Linked DNA regions of Elephas maximus indicus. The protein of the gene in region 2 interacts with the protein of the main gene of each other region in a pairwise test. Links are inferred from orthologs where the notes say so. Each region holds a gene or a part of one and is shown on either strand. Other genes may lie near its edges.

Region 1 (3,750 bases), on a different chromosome or scaffold from region 2:
GAATGGTAACAAGTGCATTATAGAAGATAACAGGGCAAATTAGTCTGCTATAAAGTACAAAAGTGAATAAATCTAAAAAAAAAAACAGGTTGTCTAGATGTACATAAATACTTTTTAAAATCATTTTTAAAAAGCAAGGGAATTATAAAGTTCAGATCAGTGATGACCTCTGGTGGGGGAAGGCAGGAGGCAAGGGCCAGGGAAGACACACGTGCGTGGCGTTACCAGCATGTGAGTACTGAGACTGTATGGCGGGGTCATGTCCTTATATGCAATACAGTGACAATAGATAAAGATAATTGAAGGAGATGGGGTAGATAAATGATAGATAGTAGATAGATGAATGATGGATGGATGGGTAGATAGACAGGCAGACAGACATATAGATGGCTATAGAGACAGACACATAAATAGATATAGAGACAGACAGAAACTGACTGACTGGAAGAAAAGGCCCCACCATCTGGTCTTCAGTGGTCAGTCTGCCTGTATAACAATGCAACACAGTCCTGGGATCAGATACACATTCCTAAAGCTGCTGTTGTCCTGAGTGTGTCATAGGTAACAGGCCAGAGAGCCCTCTGAGAAGGGAGTTGATGTCCAGCTCCCGAGGGATCCCCCCACCAACTCACCCTTCAAGCCCTTACCTGTCTCCCTCCAGCTCACAAGCATATTTCACAGCCGGGGACCAGTCATAGGCCCCTGGCTCCTTCTTCAGCCACTTTTCTAGCTCCTCCCGGTTGCGATCAGTTAAGTCTGAAAGGGTGATGTCTTGGAAGGACTCACAGGCGGCGAGCAATTGGTAGATGGTAGGGCCTGTGCCGATGTCGATCAGGGTGTCCCCTTTGAGGCCCCCTGAGGGAGGGGACGAGATGGCTGAGACTCGTCTGAGAGTCTGAGAGCTGAGGTAGTCTTTGAATGCTAGACCCTGCTAGGGGAAGGGGGATGGAGGTGAAAGAAATGGGGCCCAAGACAGATTTCGGGGCAAGGAGGAGTAGGTCCTAGTCCTGCTCAAGGGGAAAGCAGCCCCGATAATGACAGTGATCATGAATTGATGGTTTCCTACATGCCAAACGGAAAAAAAAAAAAAAAAAAACACCTGCCATGGAGTCGACTCTCACTCATGGCAAACCTGTGTCCGTCAGAGTGGAACTGTGTTCCACAGGATTTTCAAGGATGTATTTTTTAGAAATAGATCACCAGGGCTTTATTCCAAGGGGCCTCTGGGTAGGCTCAAACTTCCCGTCTTTTGGTTAGCAGCTGAGTGTGTTAACCCCGGGACTCTACATGCCAAACACAGTGCTATATATTTTATATTCATTTATTTCAATTTATACCTCAGAATCGCCCTGTGTAGGGACGGCTATTTTTATTTCCATTTTACTGATTAAAAAACTGAGTCTGAGAAAAGTTAAACAGTTAGCCTGATGACTTTCAGCCAAGATCGTTACCACAGTCCCTCCAGGCCCTGCTCTGGAGAAGATTCTGGCTGAAGCAGACAGAGAGGACATCTGGGGACAGTGACCCTAAGTTTGGCAGGAAGCTTCCCCTGATGTCCAGCCTGGCCTGGATGTGTTCCATTGGATGAGGTGCGGGGTGGGGAACTTGGCCAAGAACAGGAACCAGGGTTTTGAGAAGGACATGACCCAGAAAGGCAGCCGGGGTGAGCTGAAGGTCACCAAGAAGCTGGAATGAAGTGTAACTTCCAACATTCCACGTGGAGCCGGGCTTGAAAACATGGCTCCACTTGGGCTCAGAGCCCACCAGCCTGGTCTCTGATTTCTGCCTCCGCACTAGTCTGCACCACCAGGCTCAGCAGCTTCTTCACTCCTTCCTGCCCCCAGCCCAGAGCTGGCTCAGGAGATTCACTCTCACAGTCCCCAATCAAGTACCCAGAAGGAAGGTATGGCTAAATGAGCCCAGAGGCCAGGATTGAATCCCCATGTATGGTGGGGGTGGGGGAGGGCAATTCACTGGGAGGCCAGGGGCTACTATGTGTCCATTTTACAGGTAGTGTAATCAAGGCCCTTGGACGCTGAAGGCCTTACCAACAGGTTCATGACAGTGCTGAGACCCCGCAAAGCACTTCTGACTTTTCCAGATACTTGCCACAGCTGCATGTGGGCTCCACACTCTCGGGGTGGGGTGACTCTAACCCTGCTCAATCCTGCTGTCTGCCCTTGGCCTTCTCTGTTCTCAGAGACCTGGCTGTGGAAGGGCAGGGCTGGACTTGTGAGCTGGAAAGCCTTCCCTGTCCCACCTCAAAGACCTAGGAGCTAACAGGGGGTGGGGGGGCATTTTGGAAACTGCAAGATGCAGTACTCTCCCCTCACACACATCCCTCATCCCCTTCCCCCCCATGTCCCACGCATTCCCCTATCCCTGCTCTGTTTGAGCATGCAGCTCCTGGGCTGTGAGGAGACAGACCCCACATACACTTGCCCAAAGAGAGTGGAAGAGCCTGACCAGCTCCCTCTTCCCCAGCCCCTGCAGCCCCAGAGAAAACCAGGCTTCAACCCAGGCTGCTCTCCTGGGACTCCTTCTCCCTGTCCCTAGAAACCCAGGGAGAAGGACCGCCCCTCCACTCACCAGGACCAAAGGTCTTGTGGAGACACTCCAGGTTAAACTTGAGCACCTCGGCCTCAGGTGCTGGGCCACTGTTGAAGCTGCAGTAGGTGGCCAGGTATTCCCTGGGCAGGAAATTCTTCTGGTACTCATCTTCTCCCGTGAAGCTGCCCTCCATGGTGGCCCCTTGTGCTTGCACTGCTCCCGCCTGCCCAGGTTTATGAAGGCTCCGGATGCTCCAGGCTCCACCCCGGAACACTGCCCACCCCCTTGCTTCTCTCAGGCCAGCCTCTTCTTGAGCCACCCCGTCTGCAGTGGGTAGGAGAGACACACATTAACTGAAATTCCTCTAAACCCAGAGCCATCACAGCTAAGGCCACAGCTGCCCTAGCTTTACTTTTTCTAGGGACAGACCCACATCCCTTAGGATAATTGATGGTGCCCAGCCCTGGGTCCCACTCTCAACTCTGCCAGCCATGTGCTGTTGCTACATGACCTTGGGCAGGTGTCAAGCCTCAGTTTCCCCATCTGCTTGTACCCCTCACTGGCTGTGAGGGCTAAGATCACAACTGAGTTCATAGCGAGGTCACGTCTATATATATGTATGTAGAAAGAGAGGGGAAAGGAGAAAGAGTGCATATATATGTACAGAGGGAGATTTATTTTAAGGAAATGGCTCATGTAGTTATGTAACCTGGCAAGTCCCAAATCCATGAGTCAGGCATCAGGCTGGAGGCTTCTCCTGACTCATATGGTTGCAGGGGCTGGCAAACTCAAAATTGGCAAGTCAGATGGCAGGCTGCTGTCACACAGGGTTGCAGAAGCTGGAGAATTCCATAATCCACAGGTCAGACAGCAGGCTACTGGCTGATGTCTCCAACAACCAGAGGTCAGAGGATGACGAGTCGGTTGCAGGATCAAGAGAGAGTGAGCAAGAACATCCATATATATTGGATGTAGGCCACAACCCCAAAGAAACTTCGCTTTCAACTGATCGGCTCTTCACATCAGATCACAAAATGGAGAATGATTACATAATAGCTGTCAAGCCACTGAGAATCATGGCCTAGCCAAGTTGATACATACCTTAACCATCACAGATATGGAGGTACAATTGGAAGATGCACCCATTAACACTGACGGAAGTGAATTGTGGATATGTCTGCACTGTCCAGAGGAGGCCCA
Region 2 (3,750 bases):
AATTACTAAATAGTCTTCAGTCTTAATACTTTGTGAGCACTGCCGTTTTTCTTGTCAAGACGACCTTTTCCTAACTCCTTCTGTTAACTGTGTCCACTCCAGAGTCAGCATCTTTTTCCAGTTACACTCCATAATCCTATATAACCATTCATGAAATCTTCTTCCTCTCATTTGAAATTACCCTAAATCTATACTGGTAGAATGAATACTGATTTTCTTCACATACTGTTAAGAGGAATGGGATGAGGACTGAATCCCACTCCTCTTCTTTCCTTCCCTTCTCCCTACCCCTTGGTCAAACCAAAAGCCAAACCCATTGCTGTCGAGTCAATTCCCTATAGGGGCGCTATGAGTTGCTACCCCTTGGTAGTGACTTAAAAATACTAAAGTTTAGAAGGAGAAAAACAGGGAAACAACTTTATAAAAAGTACGTTAAAACCCAAGAGCTGACATTTGAGTTTTTTCCTATATGCTAAACACTGTTCTAATCATGTTACATGTAATTTCATATGATCTTCACAATAACCACGCTACTATGTATGACTATTATCCCTAGTTTAGAAATGAAGAAACTAAAGCACTCAGGTTAAGTGGCAGATCTTTTCCAGAGCCTTTTTATGTAACCACCACAATAGAGAATTCACTATTATATCAAACCTCTATATTATTCAGCAAAAAGAGACAACTACAAGATTACATGTGTCTCATTTGTGAGGAGATAACTTATTACTTACCTCACTAGTGAACATGGCACAGAAGTAATCACTACAAGCAGCCAGCACAATCCGATGGGCAGGGAAGTCTTTTTGCTCTACTCTCAATGTCACATCACAGAGGGTGTTGCTTTTCCTGAGGGAGTTCATTGAATTGAGGATGGATTTAGCATGAGTATTTGTCATTATGTCTTTGGGGGCCATAATGCCTCCCATTAAGCAATTTGGAGAAAGAACAAGAGTCGTCCTTGGATCCTACAACTAAAACAGAGGCAGACAGAGAGAGAAAAAAAAGAGCATATTTGAAAGACTGAAGGAAACCGAACATATTCAATTAACTTTAAAAATGAAGGAGCTAAGGGGAAGTTTCCTGAAACCGAACCCTCCACCAGTAGAGAGCACTCTTCCTCCTGGCATCACTGCCAAAACACAATCCGGCTACTACTTCAATTAAATGATCTTTTCTTTCTCTGAATTCCAATATCATTGAGTGCCCTTACCACTTGACATTATTATAATTAATACTAAACTGTATTGTAAGTAGAAAGATATTATACATGTCCTGCAGGTTTTCACAAAATCGTTGTCTCAAATGATAAAATTCCTTAAAGGTCTGATAACTACCAATATCCACAGGTAGATAAGATTTTAGAGACTGAGGATCCGGTTTTATAGTTCTGCTATCCTAGCAGGTACACAATAAACATTAATTGAATACAAGAAAAACTGTGTTCAACTTAGAGCAAGAATGGCCAGAGATGGTGAAAATGAACTTTTTCTAAAGAGTATGCAAAGAATTATTTATGAAGACCTCCAAATATATCTGGGTTTCTTATAATGAAACCTCAAATGAGAATCCAATGTCTACACTGCATAATGAAAACCATGCAAGCTACCTATGGGCTTTCAGTTGATTAATCAGTTGAAGCTGTTCAACAGAAGAGTCTGCCTACTCTATATTATTAGTAAATGTCCATCAACATTAAAAAATCAGTATGTGTACTTATTCTTCTATACCCAAAGAGCCTTATTAGAATTATAAACCTATCAGAACTCACTAGCTTTACTGGGATAGCTCATCACTTGCAAAGTTCACTGTATGCAGCTTAAGGAGTACTTTCTTGATTGTTGACAAGTTTTAGTCACACTTTTTTTTTCTTCTAGGGCAATTTCTAGGTAATGAAGTGGGATGGACTAAGACAGCTTATCTTTTTTGAAATCTGTAAGTTTCCGAAATGATCGGGGGGTGGGGGGTGGGGAAATCAATCAGTTGTCTTCCAGACACCACAACTCCCGACCATAACTTTTGCAGAGCAAAAACGAGCTCCTCACTACTTTCCTAAATTCTCATCTACTTCTGTTTATAGTTCGCATATAATTCTGTCAACACTAGATAATCCCTCTAATAGCTCTGCAAGATCCATTTCACAGAAAAGAAGGTGATGCGTCAAACGATGTTTTTAGAAGGATTTTCGTTTACTCAGTTTCAAATCTGGGGATATAAAAAAGGTCTGAACAAATGCCGATTTTATTGTGAAGATGGTGGGGCGGGCGGTTAGTCTATGACTGGGCTTATAGTTTTAGTGTAAAAATGACAATAACCCTAAAGCAGCGTGACCTTCCCTCTTTGGGATTCCTGTCCTTCAAGTTATCACCAGGGGAAGTCTCAGCCACATCCCTCACCCTCACCTTTCTGAGGTGACCTATTCTAGAACTTCCGTTAATATCTGAATAGAGAGGTTCCAACACGGGAGATTCGGGGAGGGGCTAAGTTCTGGCTATTCGAGGTGGGAGAAAAGAAAAGGAGGTCTCTTCCCCTGACAGCATCAGGAATAAGGCCGGCACCGTCAGGTGAGGTACCCAAGGGGCGCAGCTCAGGGCGGAGTTGAGAGGAGCGAGCTCGCTGCCAGAAGCCCCCAGTCTTCCTCCTCTCCAGGGCATCTCTCCCATTCCGCCTCGGAAGGAGACGACAGACGGGGGAAGGGCCAAATCCCGGAGCTGAGGGGTAGGAGGAAGAGGGCTGACTGCCGCCCCCTCCGCGCAACTCACCTCCGCTCCCGGGCCCACCCAATCGCTCCGGCCCGTCCCCCGCCCGTGGGGTGGAGTGGGGCGCGGGGCTAGCAGGCGGCTCAAGTGAAGCCGAACCGCCGCCGCCCCGACCCGGAGGCCCTGGAGCCGTCACTGTGATTGTCGCTGTTTTCGTCACCAGGTCCGCGCTAAGTGATGACGTATGCAGCTAAAGGCTCGGCCTCGTCCCACGGGGCTGCGTCACGTGAGGAGGCGGTATCACGTGACCTGAGTCTACCTGGATGTCCGCTTTCAGTGCGTTTGTTCTTCTGCTTGTTTGGTGCTGTGGAGCTGATTCGGACTCATAGCGACCCTATAGGATAGCGTAGAACTGCCACATGGGGTTTATTAGGCTATGATCTTTATAGGAGCAGATCGCTAGGTCCTTTTTCCCCCGTGGATTCTGCTGGTGGGTTTGAACCTCCTGCTTTTTCGATTAGCAGCCAAGCGCTTAACCATTCCGCTGTGAGGGCTCCTTCACTTTAGTGCATTAAAAAAAAAAAAAAAAAAACCGAACCCATTGCGGTGGAGTTGATTCCGACTCATAGCGACACTACAGTGCGTGTAGTGAAGGCGAAAAGGGAAAGGTGGGTGGGCGGGGTGTGGCAGGCAGGTGTGTGTGTGGAGTGGGGTGGGGGTTATGTACAGCTTTTCACTTTGGTGATTGCCGGAGGCTGAGCCCCTTCTTCCTAAGGTGCACAGGCAAGGACAACTGAGAGGATTCCAAAGATTTTTAAGCTCAGAATTTGATTGCAAACATACACATAGACCAACTTAACAGTTTCTACATGTACGGTTCACTGAAATTGATGATATTCTTTCAGTAGCACAGCCATTCTCAGCCCCCTTTTCTGAGTTATTCCTCCTTCATTAATATAAACTCAGTGCCCCCCCAAGTTTCTATCTAATCTTTCAAGATACTGTTGTCTATTTGTTCCCACAAAGATAGTTCTTAAAAGAGCATAATGCT

Evidence for each region. The genes of interacting proteins can lie anywhere in the genome.
Region 1: the proteins of KLHL12 (region 2) and INMT interact in binary tests that used the Homo sapiens proteins (3 or more experiments, as listed by UniProt). The two-hybrid records come from large-scale screens. The link is inferred for Elephas maximus indicus from reciprocal best matches to the Homo sapiens genes KLHL12 and INMT.

What each region holds. Positions count from the first base shown.
Region 1 is NC_064826.1:92,136,660-92,140,409, reverse strand, and holds the start of INMT (indolethylamine N-methyltransferase), read right to left. Parts: upstream 2,744-3,750; coding exon 2,590-2,743; intron 856-2,589; coding exon 648-855; intron 1-647. UniProt on the Homo sapiens protein: Functions as a thioether S-methyltransferase and is active with a variety of thioethers and the corresponding selenium and tellurium compounds, including 3-methylthiopropionaldehyde, dimethyl selenide, dimethyl telluride, 2-methylthioethylamine, 2-methylthioethanol, methyl-n-propyl sulfide and diethyl sulfide.
Region 2 is NC_064836.1:11,645,746-11,649,495, forward strand, and holds the start of KLHL12 (kelch-like protein 12), read right to left. Parts: upstream 2,922-3,750; 5' UTR 2,763-2,921; intron 975-2,762; 5' UTR 930-974; coding exon 735-929; intron 1-734. UniProt on the Homo sapiens protein: Substrate-specific adapter of a BCR (BTB-CUL3-RBX1) E3 ubiquitin ligase complex that acts as a negative regulator of Wnt signaling pathway and ER-Golgi transport.